Linked DNA regions of Anolis sagrei. The protein of the gene in region 1 interacts with the protein of each later gene in a pairwise test. Links are inferred from orthologs where the notes say so. Each region holds a gene or a part of one and is shown on either strand. Other genes may lie near its edges.

Evidence for each region.
Region 2: the proteins of CD63 (region 1) and metalloproteinase inhibitor 1-like interact in binary tests that used the Homo sapiens proteins (3 or more experiments, as listed by UniProt). The link is inferred for Anolis sagrei from reciprocal best matches to the Homo sapiens genes CD63 and TIMP1.

Annotation. Positions count from the first base shown.
Region 1 is NC_090022.1:145,171,365-145,178,580, reverse strand, and holds the start of CD63 (CD63 antigen), read right to left. Parts: upstream 3,035-7,216; 5' UTR 2,930-3,034; intron 1,387-2,929; 5' UTR 1,371-1,386; coding exon 1,305-1,370; intron 1-1,304. UniProt on the Homo sapiens protein: Functions as a cell surface receptor for TIMP1 and plays a role in the activation of cellular signaling cascades. Plays a role in the activation of ITGB1 and integrin signaling, leading to the activation of AKT, FAK/PTK2 and MAP kinases.
Region 2 is NC_090022.1:192,810,982-192,818,906, forward strand, and holds the start of metalloproteinase inhibitor 1-like, read left to right. Parts: upstream 1-4,912; 5' UTR 4,913-5,118; intron 5,119-5,806; 5' UTR 5,807-5,818; coding exon 5,819-5,948; intron 5,949-7,925. UniProt on the Homo sapiens protein: Metalloproteinase inhibitor that functions by forming one to one complexes with target metalloproteinases, such as collagenases, and irreversibly inactivates them by binding to their catalytic zinc cofactor.

The sequences.
Region 1 (7,216 bases):
TTTGATGTTTTATCATCCTTGTGGGAGGCTTCTTTCATGTCCCCACGAGGAGCTGGAGCTGATAGAGGGAGCTCATCCGCGCTCTCCCCAGATTCGAACCTGTGACCGGTCAGCCTTCAGTCCTGCCAGCACAGGGGTTTAACCCACTGTGCCACCGGGGGCTCCTGGGATATAGGGCAGTGTAGATCCAGCCTCAAGGCCCTTCCACAGGCCCTATATCCCAGGATCTGATCCCAGATTATCTGGCAGTGTAGACTCATATAATCCAGTTCAAAACAGATAATCTGGGATCAGATCCTGGGATTTAGGGCAGTGTAGATCTAGCCTCAAAGGCCCTTCTAGACAGGTTCTATATCCCAGGATCTGATCCTAGATTTTCTGCTTTAAACTGGATTATATGAGTTTATACTGCCAGATAATTTGGGAGCAGATCCTGGGATACAGGACAGTGTAGATCCAGCCTCAGGGTCCTTCCAGATAGGCCCTATATCCCAGGATCTGATACCAAGTTTTCTGCTTTAAACTGGATTATATGAGTCCACACTGCCAGATAATCTGGGATAAACAGAAAAACTGGGATCAGATCCTGGGATATAGGGTCTGTATGGAAGGGCCCTCAGAGGAAGGAACTGGCCAAACTGCCATTGAGTATTCCCTGCCTAAAAAAAACCTCACAAAATTCATGGGGTCACCAGTTGACAAGTGACCTGAAGACACATACAAAACATCCTCGAAAGGCAAATGAAGTTCATTGTTGTCTTTGTGCTGAACCCTAAAGGGAGAAATTTGATAATCATCGAGTTGTTTTTGATTCAAAGGTAAACTCATCCCACATCATAGCAGAACAGGGGGAAATTATTACCTTTTTTAAAAATCAAGTATGCAAAGTATTTTGGCATCACTTTTAGTACAAAGACATATGCATCTCCAAAGCTGGATGCCTAGAATTCTCCAGCAGATAAATGATGGTACTTAAGAGATTTAAAGTACGATGAGAAGCACATTTATTATGTACGTATGTAGGAGTCCCAAAGGATTATAACACAGCTAAGGATGCACAGCTCTTGTGATGGGAACTTACTACTAGCACTTATAGAGAAAAGAAGGAAAGCCATCAAGGAAACGGAGCAACAACTCGGAGTTAATTCAGCCTTTAAAGGTTAATTGCCCAAAGTGGAACAAAGCGCCTTGGCTGCTGAAGAGGCCAAGCAAACCCAGCCCAGAGCTTTTGATGGCGGAGGGAGGAAAGGAGGACAAAACAAGCCCCATAACCTCTCCCTCCTCCCCTACTTCCACTGACTTACCCAGAATATGAAATTGAAGAAGAAGACCAGGAACTTCACACACTTCATGCCGCCTTCGACGCCCATTTTGCCTTATTCGTCCCTGTGAGGAGGGAAAAAACAGAACAGAAGTGGCGTTAAGAGTTCAAGCCTCGCCGAAGGAGGAAGGAAAGGGAAGCTGGGAAAAGAAGATGGGCGTTTTGAAGCCTATCATGGAGGCTGGGAAAAGGAAAAACAGGAAACTTGGAGGAGACAGCCTGAGGCAGAAAGCGGGAGGAGAGGAAGAGTAGGGATTCCAGTAAACCTGGGCCCGGTTTCCTCAAGGGCTGGGTTTCATGTAAATCCTTTCAGGATACATATGTATCAGAAAGAGATTGCCAGGAGGAAGTTGGGGGAGATTCAGATACAAGGGACACACTCTCTCCACCAAGGCGGAATTTTCCAGTTTCCCTACTCCCACGCAAACAGTCAGGGGTGGCCACACTGTAGAATTAACACACTTTGATATCACTGCTACGCAATCACAGGAGTTTGACAAGGGTTTTTTTCCGTCTTCTCTGCCAAAGTATAACTCACCAAAGTGTAACTCCCAGGGTTCAAATAGCATGAAAGTGGCATATAAATAAAGGGGGGTATAAATATTATTATTACCATTATTATCAAAGTGCATCAATTCTACAGTGTAGATCAGACATGGGCCAACTTGGGTCCTAAGCGGCTGAGGGGGGAAAGGAAAGGGCCTGAGGCTGTTAGGGATTGTGGGAATTGAAGTCCAAAGCACCTGGAGGGAGGACCCAAGTTGGCCCATGTCTGGTGTAGATGCAGCCAGAGTTCTTGAAAGTTGGAAGAGACCATAAGGGCCATCTAGTCCAACTCCGAAGGGAAAGCACAATCAAAGCATCCCCAGCAGATGGCCGTCCTGCCTCTGTTTAACAACATGGCACAAGAGAACCCACTTTAGAATCACAGAATCTTAAGAGTTGGAAGAGACCTCCTGGGCCATCCAGTCCAACCCCCTGCCAAGAAGCAGGAAAATTGCATTCAAAGCACCCCCGACAGATGGCCATCCCACCTCTGTTTAACAACGTGGCACAAGAGAACCCACTTTAGAATCACAGAATTGGAAGAGACCTCATGGGCCATCCAGTCCAACTCCTTTCCAAGAAGCAGGAAAATCACATACAGAGCACCCCCGACAGATGGCCATCCAGCCTCTGTTAAAAGCTTCCAAAGGAGGAGCCTCTACCACACTCCGGGGCAGAGAGTTCCACTGCTGAACAACTCTCACAGTCAGGAAGTTCTTCCTCATGTTCAGATGTAATCTCCTTTCTTGTAGTTTCTCTCTTCTCTCCCCTTTCCCCAGCACTATCAAGGCTGGGAAAGCCCCAACATAGAACTCCGGCCTCACTCCAAGGATTCTGGAGTTGGGAGGGAACCCCAAGGGCCATCCAGCCCGACCCAATTCTGCCACCATCCAAACACTCCCGACAGATGGCCGTCCAGCTGGACAAACTTCCAGGGAAGGCGCCAAATCCAAGGAAGCGACATAAGAGTCTAAATAACAATTTCTTCTTTCTCCTTTCTGTAGAAATCTAGATTCCCGCGTTAAAAAAGGACCCCCTCCCTCTTTTACTATTATTTTTTACCTTGCCACTTCCTGCTCCTGGAAAGCAACCCAATAACAAGAGCACCGCAGGATCCAAAGGGGCAGGACTGAGCCCAGCCCCAGCGCCTCGCCTTCTTATAGCCGGCCCCCTCCTCGCGCTCCCCTGAAGCCACGCCCCCCTCCCGAGTCACCGCCCCCTCCCCGCGAGACGGAGCTCCCCCTCCGCTGCTCCTCACGTGACCTGGAGGGAAGGAGGGGAGGGGGCTGACTCAACAGGAAAAGGAGGGAAAAGGAGGGGGAGCATGGGGGTCAAAGGCAAGAAGAGCACCCCATCCAGACACTTAGAGTCTAATGGTCATGGCTCAATGCTATGGAATAATGGGAGTGGCATTTCCACAAGGTCTTTAACCTTTCTCTTCCAAAGAGCGCTGGGACCTCCCCAAACTACAAATCTCAGGATCCCACAGCCTTCAGCCTTTGTGACTTGAAGCGGGCTCAGGCAGCCTTTATTCTGCAGTGTATTACACAATGAGGCACGATTTTAAATGTCATTTCCTAATGGGTTCAATGCTATAATAAACATGGGAAAAGTTGATTAAACTGCCAAAACTTTATTTTTGCCGTGACATCTTGCAACACATTTTGATATAGTTTTCAATTAATAATAATGATGATGATTTTTTTGGTCATGTCAGGAGCGACTTGAGAAACTGCAAGTCGCTTCTGGTGTGAGAGAATTGGCTGTCTGCAAGGACATTGCCCAGGGGATGCCTGGGTGATTTGATGTTTTTATCATCCTTGTGGGAGGCTTCTCTCATGTCCCCGCATGGGGAGCTGGAGCTGACAGAGGGAGCTCATCCGCCTCTTCCTGGATTCGAACCTGCGACCTGTTGGTCTTCAGTCCTGACGGCACAGGGGTTTAACCCACTGCGCTGACACCGGGGGCTCAAGATGATGGGGGCCCAATTACCTTCCTCCCTCTCCCCTTCCCCATCTCACCTCCCTCACCGCCCAATTACCTTCCTCCCTCTCCCCTTCCCCATCTCACCTCCCTCTCACATCATACGACGATTTTCCCACCCTTTCTATCCATTTCATTGTTCCCACTCTTTCACTGTATAAAGAGAAAATCCAGAAAATTTAATAAAAAAAAAAAGATGATGATGATGAATTTTATTTATACCCCGCTACCATCTCCCCAAAGGGGACTCAGGGCAGCTTACATGAGGTCAAACCCAGTAGTGCATTACTACAGAATACAACCAAAAGCACAGAATAAACATCGCAATACATAAAACATAAGAATACAATAGTACAGTGCAAAAATATAGTGAGAGATAAATCACAATAAGCGGGCCACATGTACAAGATAAAATGATAATAACTCAGGATTAGTTAGAAATGGAACAAAAATGTTTGCGAGGGAGAAGCTCATTGGAAATGGAGTAGTGGAGACAGGCCTTCAAACAGGCAGGGGGAAGTACAGTATGGGGGCAAAACATCTCCTACAGCACTGGTTCCCAATCATTTTTTGACCAGGGGCCACTTGAACAGGGACCAGTAATAATAATAATAATAATAATAATAATAATAATAATAATAATAAATATGAAACTTTATTTATACTCCGTTACCATCTCCCAAGGGACTCGGTGCGGCTTACATAAGGCCAAGCCCACAATACATCAATAATAAAAGCAATAACAAACAACAATACAAAACAATAAAATAAAAACTCATTAAAAATAAGCAATAAACATTAACAGCCACACAGGGACGTTTAAAAACCTATGGCTGGGCCAAATGTAATAATTAAAATTTAAAAATAATGCTGAGCATGAAAAGATGAAATAGGAGCTAGATAGAGTTTTTAGAGAGGGATGGGGCGTGCAGACACTCCTAGATCCATAGTAAAGTGCATTTAGAGGACCACTCCCCAACATTAATACCAAAAGGGTTACAAATTAGTTTTTGGTCTTCAACAATACATTGTTTTTGGTCAACTTTAGATTTAAATTTGCTCCAGCAGAGAAGCATTGTCTTGTTGTGGTGCTGGGGCTTGAGCACCTCAATGATGCCACGAGCGAAACTGTAAAGGGACACCCAAGACGGGAAGGTCGTGGCAGAGAGGTCAGACTAAATGCGATCCCTGGGGAAGGTAATGGCAACCCACCCCAGTACTGTTGCCATGAAAACTAAATGGATCAGTACAACTAGAGATATGTCGGTATGCCATCAAAAGATGGGACTCCCAGGTTGGAAGATGGGGAGGAGCAGAGGATTAAGTTCAACTAGCCCCAGATGTGATGACGCAGCTAACTCAAAGCCAAAAGGAAGGCTAGCAGCCAACGGTGCTGGAGGTGAACGACGAATCCAATGTTCTTAAGATCAACACACTATAGGCCTTGAAGGGATTGGCTTGACCTTGAAGGAGCTGGGGGGTGGCCACGTCCAACAGGGAGCTCTGGCGTGGGCTTGTCCATGAGGTCACGAAGAGTTGGAAGCAACTGAACAAATAAACAACAAAGATTTGGTTTGGTTATTTGAGGTGCTGCTTCAGAAAATTGCATTGAATAGACCACATCAGCTCTAGTTTCTGCTACAGGACATATGCTATCCAGTAGTCACCATCTGCTTGCCTATACAAAACCATATTTAATAATGTAGTGCTGATGTGGTAGTAGTAGTAATCTTTTGTAGGTAATCAGTCTCTCCCCTCCCGACATCATTGTTGCCTCGTCACTATAAGAGGGTTTCGCAAAACCAGTTGCTCTCGTTGCTGTGTGGTTTTGAGGCAACAGTGTAGTAATGGTGAGGCTGCAGACCATATTTGCATTATTGTGGACCACTGGTGGTCCACGGACCACAAATTGGGAACCACTGTCCTAGAGTCTCAAACAATTCAACATAGTTTGTCGCCGCCACATAAACAGTTTCTATAATATGACAACTGCTTTCAAAGTAAGGACCATACAATTAAACAGGAAGGAACACTTTCAAACCGGGAACAGAAATGTTTCAAATTTTATTATATAGTGTTATGCTTCCAGAGTTTTGGAACACTTGAACAGCTAAATTTGAATTAGAAAAGTGGATCCAAGTGAGAAAAAATATATCAAAGAGGCAATTCCATATCCTGAGCCAAAAAGGAGGGCTTGTGGCTGCAAGCAAAATAAATGTTTCACTAAACAGAAGTAGCCCAAGTTTGCAGGCGCTTTCATTTGTTGCACTGAAAGCAGTCTCAATTAGAAAAATGGAAGTTATGTTTGAAAGGCAGCTGCCATTATTCCCCAGACTGATGAGCCTGAGACTCTAAACAAAGCTGAGGGCTTTCTTGGACTACAATTAACTCCACCAGATACATGGAAACCTCCACTGGTATGTTCAGAGACTCCTAGGGCCCTTCCACACAGCCATATAATCCAGAATGTCAAGGCAGAAAATCCCACATTATTTGCTTTGAACTTGGATATATGGCAGTGTAGACTCAGGGCCCTGCCACACAGCACTCTATCCCAGAATATCAAGGCAGAAAATCACACATTATCTGAGTGTGACTCAGATAACCCAGTTCAAAGCAGATATTGTGGGATTTTCTGTCGATATTCTGGGATATAGGGCTGTGTGGAAGGGCCCCTAGAGTTGGAAGAGAGCCCAAGGTCATCTAGTCCAACCCCATTCTGCCATGCAATAATAGACCCAAAGCACTCCTGATAGATGGCCACCTAGCTTATGCTTAAAACCCCCAGAGAAGTTTTACAGCTCTTACTGTGGTCTCCTGATATGTACATAGAATCTCTTTCCCTTTAGTTTTCCTGATTCTATTGCTCTTTTCCAAAATCTTCCCTGGAACTGATGTCAGGCTGATTGGACTGTAATTTATTGTGCCCTCCTTTTTCCCCTTCTCTCCAAGAATCCTCTAAGATTATTACCAGTGATTACTGAAATCAGCTTTCTTAAAAGTCTAAAATGAATGTTTCACTATGCTTGGATTTCCCCTTTGAACTGGATAACAGACTCCAGGAGATCATGGTCAGTCCCGCCTAAGCAACCTAGCACTTCCATCCCATTAGTCTCATCTTCACTGTTAGTTAGGATCCCCTTCTTGCCTCTTCCACCTTCTGTATAATATAATTGTTAGCAAAGCAGGTGAGAGATTAGTTGGAGCTGTTATCCAAAAATATCAGGATAGTTCGAATCTTTCATTATTACTAGATATATCCCTCCTTTTTGAAGGCGTAATCATCTGTTCCAGGAAGGCATAATACAAATCCAGAGTCTGGGGCTTGCTGTTATGTGAATGTGCCTTTGGGTTACCAGTTGGTTT
Region 2 (7,925 bases), about 48 Mb from region 1:
GGGACAAAGGGTACAATTAACATCATGGAGTTCCGGGAAAGCAAATCAACCACAATTTATTTCTGGGAAGGAATGAGGCAGAAACCTGGATGGGAGCTTTTTCCAGGTGTGGTAGCTCTATCTGCCACCTTGTGGCATGCCCTGTTAAATTTAGCTAGACACAACTTCGAAGTCAGTCTTCCAACAAGCACAAGTTTCATTTTTCTTCCATTGAGGTTCCAATTTTCTCCCTAAATTCTTCTGGAAATTGTGACACCTGCTGCTGCCCTTTCCCTTTCCTCCAGCATCCTGCCTGCATCTCTATTGCTTGAGTTGGATTAATCAGTCAGCACACACCCCATCCTGGCATGGCTTGACTCTGGACTTGAAACCACAGGCTGGGGCTATTCCGCCCCTTTGGCAGTCAGGACAGGAAAAGTACGGGGAGACAAAGGGGAAGTGGGGTAATATTTAAGTACAAGACAAAAGGGCTGGGAAACGCAGTGTGAAGTGGCAGAGGACACCTAAAGAGACTCGCAGAGATCAAGGTGAGATGGGAGCTCTAACTCCTTTTTTTGCAGCACTCTGAGCCTTATCCCAATCCTGCCTCCTATCCTGTAGGCCAGCGGTTCCCAGCCTTTGGTCCTCCAGGTGTTTTGGACTTCAACTACTAGAAATCCCAGCCAGCTTACCAACTGTTAGGAACTGTGGGAGCTGAAGTCCAAAACAACCTGGGAATCACTGCTATAGGGAACTCACTGTAACCCCTAAACTGATCCCCTCTATTTAGATTGCCAATCCAGGGAAATATCCTCAGGAGCTCCACCAAACTCTTGCCTCCTTGTTGCATTTCCCTTGTCTTGGTCTTCTTATTCACTCCTCTCTTTTGCATTGCAAATTCTGGTATAGCTCTGAGTTCAGAAGGTGCACCCTCTCATATTGCAGTCCACTCATCTCTATATCCTGTTCTCCTCTACTTCTCAAACTCAGTCCTGCCCTCCATTGCCTGCCACAGAATCAGGAAAATACAGTGATTTGTTCCTTTGGGAGTCAAGATCTACCTTGCTCTTGGCTGCTCAAAATAGAGCCATTCATCACTCCCCTAATCCTGCACCCCTGCAGCAGTTCTGTGCAGGGTGTTTCCCCACCCCTTCCTTCCAACTTCCCTCTCCTGAAATAACACTACCTTCTCCACTCCCCCAGTCACACCACTGAGTCACATTCCTCCTCGTTTTTTCAGCAAAAAAACAGGACGAAAGAAAGAGGATGGACCTGGCTAAAGCAAGTAAATTCCTGGTTGCCAGCTTACTCCTCTTCACTCTGGTTGCAAGATACCACTGAGGCCTGCAAATGTGCCTCCGAGTACCCCCAGGAAGCATTCTGCTCCTATGATGTCGGTGAGTCTGTCTGCAGTCTTTTACTTCTCCTTCCATGGAAACTTGCCTTCTGCTATGAAACCTGGTGCTCCCCGTTCTCTTGATTCTTTTTTCTGTATTCTCAAATGCTCTCACGCTCCATGCTCAGTCTGCCAACAGCCACTTCTTTGACTGTCTTATGGTAAGTAGGTTGCAGACCACATACAAAAGGACTCTATAGGTATGTGAAGCCATGAAACTGGCATCTTCTGCACCTGAGGGCTGCTCCACTTAGTGGGAAGAGTTAGTAGCAGAATCATAGAGTTGGATAGGACCACAAGTGACATCTAATCCAGTCCCCTGCCCACAGGAACCCACAACTACAACATCCCTAAAAGATGTCCATCCAATGCCTGGTTAGAAATTTCAAACATGGCAATCCCCCCCCCCCCTACCCCAGGAGAGTATATGCCATTGTTGGAATGCGGAATTTCTTTTTTAGTAATTTAAATCCACTGTCTTAGGGCCCTTACACACAGCACAAAAGAAACAGAAGAGAACAGGTTAAAGAGGGCAAGTGTCTAGATGACGTTTCCAGTAAATCTGCACTGAATTGGAACAATGCAGCCAAAACACAGGCTAAAGAACTCCTCTTTTATCCTGGGTCTGGTTGCAAACTGCACATTTTTATATGACTGTCTATCCCTACAGTCAAGCAAAATGTGATATCCCCCCCCCCCTCCATGGAGATGGCAGATCCCAAAACAGCTGAATTATTTTGTGTTGTCAAAGGCTTTCATGGCCAGAATCACTGGGTTTCTGTGAGTTTTCCAGGCTGTATGGCCATGTTCCAGAAGCATTCTCTCCTGATGTTTCACCCACATCTATGGCAGGCATCCTCAGAGGTTGTGAGGTATGTTGGAAACTAGGCAAATGAGGTTTATATATCTGTGGAATGTCCAGGGTGGGAGAAAGAACTCTTGTCTTTTGGAGACAAGTGTGAATGTTGCAATTAGCCACCTTGATTAGCATTGCAGGTTCAACTTCCTGCCTGAGGGGAGCCTTTGTTGGGGGGGATGGTGTTATCTTGCCCTGATTGTTTCTTGTTTTGAATTCCCAAATTTTTGACTGCCAACAAGATGGAGGGGACCCTCTTAGAAAGAAGTTGAATGTACCATGAGATCAAAACCACCAAGGTAAGCATTTTCTCCTGTTATCAAAGTTCTCCTGTTAAATCTCTGATCAGCCATGAAAAGTCACTGCCTGACCTTTGAGGAAGTCACACTCTCTCGGTTTCTGAAGAAGACAAATTCTGCAAAGAAATCCCCATCAAATGTGCTTCTCAGGGTTACCGAAAGTAAAAAAAATGACTTAACATAACACAACAAATATACCTCTAAAAGGTAAACAGAACCTTTGGTTCTCCCAACTAGATAATAATAATAATAATAATAATAATAATAATAATAATAATAACACTTTATTTGTACTCTGCCATCATCTCCCTAAGGGACTCGGTGCGGCTTACATGAGGCCGAGGCCGAGTACAACAATACAAGCAAAACAACAACAGTACAAGCAATTAAAATAAAAACATAGACAATAAAATATACAACATTATCAATAAGACAACACACAATTAAAAACAGTGGGAAGGCCAAATGTAAAGTTAAAATGGAAATAATGCTGGGACATGGACAAAAGGTGATAGTGGCGTTTGTAAGGGCATACGAGCAGATCTAAAAAAAGTAAAGTTCTTTGGAGGACAAAGTGCTATGAGATCATTATTCTGGGAAGGCACACTGGAACAACCACATCTTCAAGCTCCTCCTAAAGACTGCCAAGGTTGGGGCCTGTCTGATGTCTTTAGGGAGTGAGTTCCAGAGTCAAGGGGCCACCACTGAAAAGGCCCTCTCTCTCATCCCCACCAACCGCGCCTGCGATGCTGGTGGGATTGAGAGCAGGGCCTCCCCGGATGATCGAAGGGATCGTGTGGGTTCGTATACAGAGATGCGGTCACGCAGGTAGGCGGGTCCCAAACCGTTCAGGGCTTTGTAGGTAAGAACCTGCACCTTGAATTGGGTCCGGTAAATGAATGGCAGCCAGTGGAGCTCCTTGAACAGGAGGGTTGACCGCTCCCTGTAAGGCACCCCAGTTAACAACCTGGCTGCCGCCCATTGGATCATCTGAAATTTCTGGACCATTTTCAAGGGCAGCCCCACATAGAGTGCATTGCAGTAATCCAGTCTAGAGGTGACTAAGGCACGGACCACTTTGGCCAGTTCACATTATAATTCTTATCAATTCTCATCAGGTTGCTGTATGTTTTTCAGGCTGTATGGCCATGTTCTGGAAACATTATCTCCTGATGTTTTGCCTGCATCTATGGCAGGCATCCTTAGAGTTTGTAAGATCTGTTGGAAACTAAGAAAATGGGATTTATATATCTGTGGAATGTCCAGGGTGGGAGAAAGAACTCTTGTCTGTTGGAGCTAGGTGTGAATGTTTCAATTAGCCACCTTGATTAGCATTTAATGCCCTAGCAGTTTTCAATGTGTGACTTCTTACTGCCTGGGGGAATCCTTTGCTGAGAGGTGATTAGCTGTCCCTGACTGTCTCTTGTCTGGAGTCCCTGTTTTTACTGTTATGATTTTAGAGTTTATAAATACTGGTTGCCAGATTTTGTTCATTTTCATAGTTTCTCGCTTTCTGTTAAAATTGTCCACATGGTTGTGGATTTCAATGGCTTCTCTGTGTAGTCTGACATGAGGTTGTTTGAGTGGTCCAGGATTTCTATGTTCTCAAATAATATGCTGTATTCAGGTTGGCTCATCAAGTGCTCTGCTATGGCTGACTTCTCTGGTTGAGTTAGCCTGAAGTGCCTTTCATGTTTCTTGATTCATGTCTGGACAATGCTGTGTTTGTGGTCCCTATGTAGACTTCTCCACATCTGCATGGTATACAGTAGACTCCTCCAGAGGTGAGGGGATCCCTCTTGCCTTTTGTTGAACATAGCTCTGATGTCATGACAAATTACAAATGACAAACTAAAGTGGCATCAGAGTGCTATCATTCTGCAGGATGGATAATTTTTTGTGAGAATAGAAAATTTGTATCTTCAATCCAGTGTATGTGGGGGAGTGGGAGTATGTCAATTTCTGTATTTTTGCATTTTATTAAAAACACTGGTAGAACAGAGAAGACTTTAAGGTGAATCTGAGCACCAAAAAACAGGGATAAAGGATAAAATTAACATCATGGAGATCTTGTAAAACAAACCAACCATAATCTATTTCTGGGAAGGGGTTAAGCAGAAACATGAATGGAAGTGTTCTCCAGATGTGGCTAGCTCTATGATGCCACCTTGTGGCATGCCCTGTTAAATCTAGATGGAGCCTTCTTCAAAGTCCATCTCCTCAACAAGCACAAGTATTACTTTTCTTCCACTGAGGAATTTGTAATTTCCTCTAAATCCTTTAGCGAATGGTGAAACCTACTGCTGCTGGTCCCACCCCACAACTGTCCTTTGCCTCCTCTCCAGCATCCTGACACCATCTCTATCACTTAAGTCGTATTAATCAGTCAGCACACACCCCATCCTGGCATGAGTTGACTCTGGACTTGAAACCACAGGCTGGGGCTGTCCCGCCCCTTTGGCAGTCTGGACAGGAAAAGCAGGGGGAGACAAGGGGGAAGCAGGGTGATATTTAAGTATGAGCCAGAAGGGCTGGGAGACGCAGTCTGAAGTGGCAGAAGACGCTGAAAGAGACTGACAGAGATCAAGGTAAGATGAACTCTTCTTTTGCAGCACTCCGAGCCTTCCCCTCCTACTTTATAGGGAACCCACTATAACCCCTAAACTGGTCCCCTCCCTTTAGATTGCAACTCTTTTTACCAGGAAATATCCCAAGGATCTCTACGAATCTCTTGTCTCCTTGTTGTGCCTCCCTGACCTTGCTCTTTTTATTCCTCCTCTCTTTTGCATTGCCACAGACGCACCTCACATTGGAAATTCTGGTTTAGTTTTGTCATTTTGCTTCCCTTGGCTCCCTTGCCTCCTGCTAAAGCTTCTCATATCCAACCCACTATCCTAGTGGGATTGAGGGCATCCTAAAGAAACAGAAAGTCGCTATGAAGTTCAGACTCCAGAAGGGACACCCGCTCATATTGCAATCTACTCCTCTCTTCATCCTGTTTCTTTTTTTTCAAACTCAGTCCAGCCCTCCATTGCCTATCACAGAACCAGGACACAGAGGAGCTTTGTTCCTCTGGGAGTGCAGATCTCCTTTGCTCCCTGTTACTCAAAATATAGCCATCAATTGATCTCCTCATCCTGTACCTATGTGGGCAGCCCTGTGTGGGATGTTTCCACATCCCTTTCTTCCAACTCCCTTTTCTGAAATAACTCTACTTTCTCCACTCTCCAAGTCAAGCTACTGACTCACATTCTTCCTCATTCTCTTAATAAAAAGAAAAAAAGGAAAATGAACATGGCTAAAGTAAACGGATTCCTGGCTGCCAGCTTCCTCCTCCTCGCTCTGCGAGGAGATACCACTGAGGCCTGCTCCTGCGCTCCCCGGCACCCCCAGTCGGCATTCTGCTCCGCTGATATTGGTGAGTCTCCGGAACCCAGTAGCATCAAAGAGCTTTCTCTCTGCAGTCTCTCACCTCTCCCTCCATGGAAACTTGCCTTCTGCTATGAAACCTGATGCTCCCCGTTCTCTGGATTCTTTTTCTGTATCCTCAAATACAGTGCATGCTCTTATGCTCCATGCTCAATCTGTAAACAGCCACTTGCTTGGTTACCTTGTGGTACATAGTTTGCAAGCCAGATACAGAAGGGCTGTATAGATGTGCATCTGTGGTATGAAGAGGGGAAAGAACTAGGTGTTTTATGACTATGGGGCAAATGAAAGGCAGGAGAAATTAAAACCAAGAGGGACTGTTTACAAGAAAGGAGATTTTGGCAAAACATTTGGAATAATTTATTGGAGGTACAACTGTAGCAAAGTAAAAGAGCTTTCCCAGTAAGGTGGCAGACTTCCCAGGTTTTCAAACAGAGGCCACATCTCAGGTTGCTTTACTGAAACATTTCCTCCATCAATAGGAAGTTAGGTACCTTCCAACTCACGAATTCTAGGATCTGGGTGAGCATCCACTTTTTTTTTTAAGATGGATATTTCTGGGGGCCTGTCCATACCCACCCCAGAAAGCGCATGCTTTCTGGGATGGGTTGTCGACACATTCTCTCGGGATTAGCCCGAGAGAATGTGTGGAGGGTTTTCCTGTTTTGTAGCGAATTAATGCGGGAATGTCCTGAACATTGTCTGGACAGCCCATCTTTATTGCAGGAGTTCCCTCAATAAAGGCCCTGTCGGGAGGGGCCCACACAGTCTATGAGCTGCATGCGGTCCCTTCATCCATTTTATATCAGCAAAATGTGAATTAACTATTCAAACTTAAACAAGAGTTGCAACTTGTTGGGTTTTTTTGAAGTCATTATAAAAGCTGGGTTGTTGTAGGTTTTTTCGGGCTATATGGCCATGTTCTAGAGGCATTATCTCCTGATGTTTCGCCTGCATCTATGGCAAGCATCCTCAGAGGTAGTGAGGTCATTATAAAAGCTTTACTCAGATCACTTCTTAAGTAACAATGCCTACAGCCAGAGAAATATCTATCATTTCAGTGTGCCCATTGCAATTGAAATATAAGTTTCCAGTGCTTTTCATGGCAGGACACTTGTGTCTTTGTTATCTGCCTGAGTACAGAGAAAGATGGAAGTTGATTTCTTTCCTCTATAACTTTATCACCATGTTGGAAAAAGGTTTTCTTGCTGAATTTCTGCAAGTCTGGCATCCAGACAAAAAAAGAGGCAGTTGGCAGTACAAATGGAAACTTGCTCATGTCTTATGGTATGCTGAGGTTTTATTCACTCTGGTCATTTGTGGAAATATTTCAATTCCTGAAACATTCCCTTAAAAGTGCTTTAAAATCAGTTTTGCGCCAGGAAAAAAAGCTTTCTCAATCACTTCCAGGACTGCCCTCTGATAGACTATATGATATATAGCTATATTCCTTTTGTCATAGCCCTAAATACAGCTAAACGTTGCATTCTGAAAGTTTCCAAAGTCCAATAGTTGAAAAGGTAACTAAATGGAATCTAGGCAAAACAGATACTGTTGATTCGCACATTTGATTCTGATTAGCCAAAATTGTCAATGCTAGTTCGCTTTCAGATTTATATTTACTTTTTTGGCCCTCTTTTATTTTATTATTTTGAGGCTCTGGTGGCACAATGGGTTAAACCCTCGTGCCGGCTGAACTGGTTGACTGAAAGGTTGGGCGGTTCGAATCTTGGAGGCAGGGAAAGCTCTTGTCTGTCGAGCTCTAGCTTCCCATGCAGAGACATGAGATAAGCCTCTCACAGGACGGTAAAACATAAATCATCTGTCTCGGCAACATCCTTGCAGATGGCCAATTCTCTCACAACAGAAGTGACTTGCAGTTTCTCAAGTCACTCCTGACACGATAAAAATAATTGTTCAAAAATGTCAAATTCTTAAAAATGTAAGTCTTCTTTCATTGAGAGGG